Linked DNA regions of Cricetulus griseus. The protein of the gene in region 2 interacts with the protein of the main gene of each other region in a pairwise test. Links are inferred from orthologs where the notes say so. Each region holds a gene or a part of one and is shown on either strand. Other genes may lie near its edges. The genes, in order: Cep43 and Cep19.

Evidence for each region.
Region 1: the proteins of Cep19 (region 2) and Cep43 interact in binary tests that used the Homo sapiens proteins (3 or more experiments, as listed by UniProt). The two-hybrid records come from large-scale screens. The link is inferred for Cricetulus griseus from reciprocal best matches to the Homo sapiens genes CEP19 and CEP43.

What each region holds. Positions count from the first base shown.
Region 1 is NC_048595.1:292,382,256-292,386,071, forward strand, and holds part of Cep43 (centrosomal protein 43), read right to left. Parts: intron 3,227-3,816; coding exon 2,997-3,226; intron 2,145-2,996; coding exon 2,032-2,144; intron 504-2,031; coding exon 435-503; intron 1-434. UniProt on the Homo sapiens protein: Required for anchoring microtubules to the centrosomes. Required for ciliation.
Region 2 is NC_048597.1:57,396,794-57,401,179, forward strand, and holds the start of Cep19 (centrosomal protein of 19 kDa), read right to left. Parts: upstream 2,997-4,386; 5' UTR 2,674-2,996; intron 1-2,673. UniProt on the Homo sapiens protein: Required for ciliation. Recruits the RABL2B GTPase to the ciliary base to initiate ciliation.

The DNA.
Region 1 (3,816 bases), on a different chromosome or scaffold from region 2:
TTACTTACATCTGCTCCAAATAATACAACAGCCCATGCCACAGCTGAACTCTCACATCTGAGCCCTGTAGCAGACGGATGGACTCCCTGTGGTCTGGGTGCTGAACTCACAGCACCCAGAGAACAGCTCGGTTGCTGTCACCACTTCACCCATGTTCACTGAAACCTTTGTTATACAGCTCTGTCTGGATCACCAGGCCCAGCCACAGCCTCTTCCAGAGGCCTTCCTCAAAAGCCCAGTCCAGGGCCTTCCCCTACCACAGTCTGGACATGAAGACAAAGGATGGTGCAACTTGTTGCCACCGTCCCCTGGCACAGGGCTAACTCTGGATGCATACTAACTCTCCAACACCTGCTGAATGACAGCAGGACGGTTCTTCCATGTAGACCTGGAAAAGGTTTTCAACAACCACACTAAAACTGAAATACAGTTACCTAGCCCAAGTGATCCGATTTTCTCACTGACCAACTTCAGATCCTTTAGGACGGTGCTTCCTCTTTTACCTGCAGACGGGAAAGAGCACTGTGTGAAAGAATTCAGGGCAACATTCTCTAAGCCACACCAAGCATTTACACCCTAAGAGTATGAAAGCCTAGAGGTAAAATTATCAGTAGAGGCTACAATCATGTGTTATGGAGAGAAATCAGATCATACTATTCTTTATTAGAACACAACCACCAAAATAAAAATGCACACAAAACCTAGTACTGTGAACTCCAAGTGGACTACCTGAGGAAGTCCTGCTGATGCTCTGCACACCAGGTTAAATACCAGCTGACTATGACAGGGTGATATCCACATATGCTTTCCCAGGGTGAGGATGGGATGAGATGGGATGGCATAGTGCAGGAAGCTGGCTATCCTTTCACCTTGCTAGCAACCTCTCCTCTGTTCACATAAAAATGTCAGACACAAGTCCCTGATGGCAGAATGACTATGATGATCACTCTATCACAAAACTTCTTTTAAAATTTAAGTTATTTTAAGGGTTTATGAGGCATGACTTACAAGTTACAAATGTTTTCTGTCTTGGAAGGGGACAGCACCTAACACTCATCTTAGGTTGACAATACTCCTATGAAAACTCTACTGGAGATGCCTAACCTACCAGCCCAGCCCAGCCCAGTCCAGCAGTACTCGGTAGAGGCTATTTACCTTCCCCAGTGATCATGTGGCTCATCAACATGTTGATAAAACACAGAGGGATGTGCATACTGCAGCCAGGGAAAACCAAGACTAAATTTGAAGTATTATGTATGACTTCTGTGTAAAATTTAGAAATTGTATATGTATACCTACTGATGGTCTAAAGCATTTAAAAAGTCAGCTTCCGAAAACTATGTTGATAGCATAGCAAAAAAGAATACAAATGGTGGAGAATACTGACTACATTAAGAGTGGCAAAATATTGTCCATCTCATTAAAATGGAGATTTTTCTAAAACAACAACCCCCCCAAACCAAACCAAACAAACAAAACTACAACAATAAAACCCCCAATCTATATTAATTGTTATTACATATGACTGGCTAATTTTTTTTTTTTTGACCTGACACAAATAATCACTTCCTTCCTCAACTTACTTTGGGTCATGGTATTTTATCACAGCAACAAACACCACACTTATCCGAAAAAAACAAACAACAAACAACAACAACTAACCTGGTAGAGTGATATCTTGTTTATATCCTAACAAATAAAGCTTGCCTGAAGATCACGTTGGGCGCCAACATGTAGCATGAGTTCTAATAGGTCTTAATAATAAAAGCCTGGAGTCAGATACAGAGGAAAATGCTGAAAGATCAGACAGACAAGGAGCAAGTCACAGCCACCTTTACCTCGCTAACTTCCCAGCTGAAAAGAGATTGAGCTCCTGTCTCCTCCCACCTCCTCACTTCCTGCCTATCTGTACTGACCTCCAGACCTCTACGGTTATCTAGTGGCTAGCTCTGCCCTCTGATCTTCAGGCAAGCTTTATTTGTTAGAGTATAAACAAGATATCATTACAACCTGGAGTATTCAAGTACTTACTCTCAGTATCTGTTAATGAAGGGGCTCCTGCCAGGGAGCTGAGACCACTCCTGAAGGGGGGTATGTCAGAGAGTGAGGCCAGACTTCCAACGTGCTTCCTAGGTTCATTTCTCCTAACAGGAAGCAATTAATAGTTAAATGATAATTTCAGGCCTTATCACTATAGTCTTTTATTCTGTAAACATAAAAAAGCAATTTAAATATGCATCTAATGGTTGACATGAAGATTTTACAGATTGAAAACCATACAGCACACCTACAGGACAATGCAGACTGCAGACGTGCAGTTACAGATGCATAAGATTGTCAGTGAAGCACCAGCTCCCCTAAATTCCCAACTGTTTACTATCTCTCAGCCAAGTGGACCTTCAACTATCTAGGAGCTCCTTCAGAAGCCCCCTCCATCTTTTGAAACACAAAAGACAGTACAAGAATCAACAAATAAGCATTTCCTCTCAAATGCATACTGTTCAGGAAGCGCAGAGCCCTTCTAACCTTCAGAGGCTGTTTCATCACAACTTCATGCATTCCAGTCAGCTCCGTCCTAACTTCCCAGGCACTGCCATCAGTGTCTACCCTGGCCACCCCCTCCATTCCATTGACAACTCCTCCCTGGAGTCTACCACAGGGCAGCACTCCAGCAATACTGTTACCTTATTCTAAATCCCCAGGTGTTCCCTTATATTAGCAAGCATCCACACATGCACAAACTGAAACTCTGATACAGCTCCTATCACACAGTGAGTACCTGATACAGACTCATCTGGTGAAAATGGCTCATCTGGTGCCTTCAATAATTCTGGCATTATTTTATAACATACTAGGTTTTACTGACACAAAACTAGGTTTATGGATTCAATAATTATATAGTTATTAGCAAATCATTAGTTTTAAAATATAAAATGAAAGCATTTTAGATTTTATTTTTAAATCATAAGTCAGATGATCCAAAGAAGTCTACTCACCAACCATAGGTTTTTTCTGGCTTAGGAATGGGATCATCAAAGAAAGAGTCTCCTTCTGCATCATCTTCCTCCCCACAAAGAACACCTTTGTCTTTTGCATCTAAAGTGCTGCTGCTCAAGAAGGACGCGATTCGTGTCTCCTGGGCCAGGGAGTGAAGGCTGCTCTTGCTCCTTGGCTCTGATAAGGAGATACTACTGGGCTCGCTCTGACTGCTCTCGCTGTTGGTCTTCTAAGAAAGATGGAGGGAGGGAGAGGTCTCCGTGGTGATAAAACTTCTAAGATATCTTAAACAATAGTCAACATAGGTGTGTGTGTGTGTGTGTGTGTGTGTGTGTGTGCGTGCGTGTGTGTGTGTGTGTGTGTGTGTGTGCGTGCGTGTGTGTGTGTGTGCGCGCGTGTGTGTGTGTGTGCGTGTGTGTGTGCGCGTGCGTGCGTGCGCGCGTGTGAACACCTGTGCTTTCAACAGCAGGAACTACAGTGTCGTCCTATGCTTTCCCACTTCATTCCCAGGCTTCCTGACATGGACAGCTTTCCAATGGTAAAATGTTAAAGAAGATGTTTACACTATTTCTTTCCTTCTTTCTAAATGAAAATGTTTTTAGTGTGTATCCCACTTAGAAACTTTCTCATTTATAAATAGCTTTCCTTTTTCATCCTATATGTATGTATGTCACCGCTGCATAAAATATCTTAATACATTTTCAACTTGAAACCAGGAGAGAGCATTAAAGTTAAGAAGACTGTCACAAAATAAACTAAATTGCACTATTCATGAGAAGGGAGAGTAGTTTTCTACACAGCACCAATGAAAGCCTCAAG
Region 2 (4,386 bases):
GGGCACAACAACATCAAAACCAGAAAGCTGGTGAAGATGTATTTGAACGAGGGGGTCATGTTCCAACCACATCAAACAGCAGAGCTTGGCAGTTTCAGCCATGTGGTTCTGGCTTTAGAGTCAAGGATAGAAGAAAGGAAATCCCCTCCCACCCACAATGGCTAAGGAAAGCCATTGAGGCCAGGCATTTGTCAAGCATGTCCCTGCATGGAGGGCCTACAGAAGCCATTGTATGAAGCTGTGAAAGTGAAGCCTTGTGTTGGAGAACCCCAAGATGTTGGAGATGCCAGAGTCATGAGATACCTGCCAAGGAAAGCTGCTAACAGGGAGTGGAACCAACCCAAGAGAAAGACGTGTGCTGCAGTCGACAAAGCTGGGAGGAATTGGAGATCTGAAGAGAGTTTTGACATCAGACATGGAGATGCAAGAGTTTGGAGTTTGCCCAGCTAATTTTTGGTCTTGCTTTGATCTAATATTTCCTTGCTATGTTCCCTTCCCTGTATTTTGGAATTGTAATGTATATCCTGTATCATTCTATGTTGGAAGTATGTGATTTGTTTTTTTATTTTGATTTCATAGGGGATTAAAGTTAAGAGAGTGAATGAATCTCAGAAGAGACTTTGAACTTTGGCCTTTGAAACATTTTTGAGACTGTAATAATCTAAGAGGACTGTTGAAGTTAAACTAAATGAATTTTCATTATGTTATGGCTCCAAGCCTGTGTGGGTCAGGGAGTAGAATGTGGTGGTTTGAATAGGTATGACCCCCCATAGACTCATGTGTTTGAATGCTTGGCCCAGAGGGAGTGGCACTTTTAGGAGGTGTGGCCTTGATGGAGTGGCTGTGGCATTGTTGGAGGAAGTGTCACAGATCTCTTCCTGCTGCCTGCAGAGATGCAGAACTCTCAGTTACCTCTCCATCACTGGCACACTGCCATGTCCAGCCCTGATGATAATAGGCAGGACCTCTGAACTGTAAGCCAGCCCCAATTAAATGTTTTCTTTATAAGAGTTGTTGTGGCCATGGTGTCTCTTCACAGCAATAGAAACCCCAACTAAGGCAGTAACTAAAGCTGAGGCAGCAGAAGCTATGAGGCCTAGTTGCTGAAGAGTTTCAGGGGGCTTTCAGGCCTTGAGACTTAGGGTTCTCATGGCCTAGGCCCAACAGCAATAATAATACTAGCTATTGTAGGAATGAAGAATCTCAAGGCCCTTAGGAGTTGTAAGTTAGTTCTGTTGAAGAATAACTATAGGCACATTAAGAAATTGATAGTAGCCCCCCCCACCAAAACAAACAAACAAACAAACAAAAACAACAGCCAGGCATTGGTGGCACATACCTTTAATCCCACACTCTGGAGACAGAGGCAGGCGGATCTCTGTGGGTTCAAGGTTAGCCTGGGCTACAGATCAAGTTCCAGGACAGGCTCCAAAGCTACACAGAGAAACCCTGTCTCGAAACAAATAAACAAACAAACAAAAAAAAACAAAAAAAGAAGGAAAAGAAAATTGATAGTATTTATATCTGTTCATTATTAAAAAAATAGGGACAAAAGAAAGAGGAAGAAAACATAAAATATTCACCTAATTTCCATTCCTTTTTTTCTAGCTATAAGTATATATACATTTACTACAGTATATTTAAATGTCATATGAGTTCCTGAATTAAAATGCAAATTTTATGGTTGCCAAGTAGATTTGTTATATAGGACCATAATCTGTATTCTCACCCCTACTGTTAGATGTGAGAATTTTTACTTTTTTTTTGAGAATTTTTACTCTTAAGAGGTTAGTCATAATATAGAATTGTTTTTCATATTGCTATGCTCTGCCTTTGATCTGAGTCAATGACCAGATACTACTCCCAGTTCACCTCACTAAAGTATGATGCTAGTATGCTTTCTAAGAAATACGACTAAACACCCTATATGGTCTACAAACACAAACAAGAGGCCACACTTGTGAATAGAATTGACAATGTAGGGTTTTGACTATAGAGTCTTCATTTTTAAATTCTAGAGTTTTCCTTTTTAAATTTTTTGTTGTTGTTGGTTTTTGTTTTGTTTTTTCAAGACGAGGTTTCTTAGTGTAACTGACCTGGAACTCACTTTGTAGACCAGCCTCGAACTCAGATACCCACCTGCCTCTGCCTCCTGAGTGCTGAGATTAAAGGCAGCCAGCTTTTTTTGGAGGGCTTGGGAGGCTATCTCTCTCTCTTCCTTTTTTCTTTCTTTCTTTTTTTTTTTTTAAAGCTTTTTCTGTGTGACAGCCCTAGCTGTCCTGGAACTCGCTCTGTAGACCAGGCTGTCCTTGAACTCACAGAGAGCCACCTGCCTCTGCCTCCCAAGTGCTGGAATTAAAGGAGTGAGCCACTACATGTGGCTGTCCGCATTTCTTAACAGAGTGCTTGCAGTGTTTGTTGTATTATACCCTCTTCCCACCTGGAGACCTCATAGCCTGGCCAGCACCAGCACTCTCCACAACTGCTAACATATTCCAAAGAGTTGGGAGGAGTGACAGCACGTTTACCTAACTGTTCTTGGACGATATACTTTTCTTCCCAGGGATCAATGACTGTGTTCCCTACAACACCTAAGGGGGTACGGCTTTCCCACCTTATAGACCCGACCTTTCTCTACTGATGTCCTCACTAGGGCAAGGCGACCCTTCTTACCCTTGAAGAAGTACAGGAAGTGCACATCTGAACAGCAGCGAGAGGGCTGTTTCCATCCAACCGCATTGCACAGAGGATCACTTATATCATCTTTGAGGCGGAGTGGAGCCTGACGCTGCAGGAAGAGGCGACACCCATTTCCTACAGGGGTAACCATGGGGTGAGTTCAGAGGCAGGTGGCCCCAGCCCGCACGCGTCCGGCTGAGGACGGGAAGCTGGCCTGAGCGCGGCGTGTGCGGTCCTAAGTCTGAGCTTGGTCCAGAGGCCCGCCGGGCGCCCGCCTAGGCTGGTTTCCAAGGCAACAGCGCGAGCGCGCGGACTGCGCTTGCGCAGATTTTCGCCCCGCCCCAGCTGGGATGGCCAGGGGCGGCGCCAAATGCGGGCCTCCCGGGGACCTGCAGTTCGTGGGACTGAGCTACCCAGTGCGAGTGCTCAGTGGGTCCAGGGCCGTTTGCGCGCGGAGCGCTCCGTCCCAGTCACCCGGCCGGTGGGAGTGCGCGCTGCGACGTGAGCAGCCTCCTTCCGCGACCGCAGCTCGTCCCGCGCGCCCATTTCGGGCGTCGGCGCTCCGGCGTCCTGGCTGCGGGCGCTGTGGCCTGGCTGCTCCTCTGGGCGGCTGGGCTGGTCGTCAGGCTCGCCGCGGACTTGAGCGACGCCCCCTTCGGCTCTGGTAAAGGGCGGGGGGGGGGGGGGGAGGCTGAAGGAGCGCGCGCGGATCTGGGGCAGGGGTGGGGAGCGCCCGCGGCCCTTCAGCTCCGCGGTTTGCCGAGGTGTTAGACATACCAGGGGCGGGAGGAGGTTAGCCACAAAGGCCGCGTGCGTCCCTGACCTCCCTGTGATCTTTGCTTGGTGTTCCATCCCGGACATCGGAGCCATGCTTTGTCCCTCTGAGGCGGGGCAGGCCACAAAAGTACTAAACAGGTACAGCCACGGAGCATCTTGGGATGCTTGTGGTACCCCCGAAGCTGCTTTCTGCTGCCGGGAGAGGCCAGGGAACCCTTCGCGTCCCCGAAGGTGTGAACATGGCCAGTTTGTAGAGAAGGGATGAGGTGGTGAGTTGGTGTGTTTCGTGACAGACTTCCCAGGGAGATGCCGCTCTCCCTCCCTCCCTCCCTCCCTCTCTCGCTCCTCCAGAAAGGTAACCTTTGTACTAGTAGCCAATTTGATGAACCAATGAATTTTTTTTATTGGGGTTACTGGTAGGAATGTGGGTGAAGGGTTACTTGCAAGGAGCAGGGATAACTCAAAAGAATCTGCATCACTAAAAAATCCACCCCAACATGGTTGACCCCGCCCCTGAAACTGCAACCCTGGAGCTCCATAGCCCCAATATCTGTTTTTTTTTTTTACCCCCATCTCTTTCTCTCTGCAGTTTGTCCCCAGCAACTGTTGACTCCCTTTTATACTGTTGATAAGGACCCTCGAGAATCTTACAAGTTTTTATTCTCCTGGCTACACATGCTTTTTTTTTTTTTCTTCAAGTTACTGAGTAACAGGTTTATGTAGTGCTTCACTCTGGTTTAATGTTCTTCTCGAACATTTCTAGCCAAAGTTTTATAGCAAGGTGTCTAGCAACTGAATAGTGAGGTTTTTTTTTTTTGTTTTTTTGTTTTGTTTTGTTTTTTTGAGACAGAGTCTGTGTCACCCTGACTGTCTTGAAACTTAGTATGTCGTATTCTGGGACCAAAGGTGTGTGCCACCTCACCAGTCTTG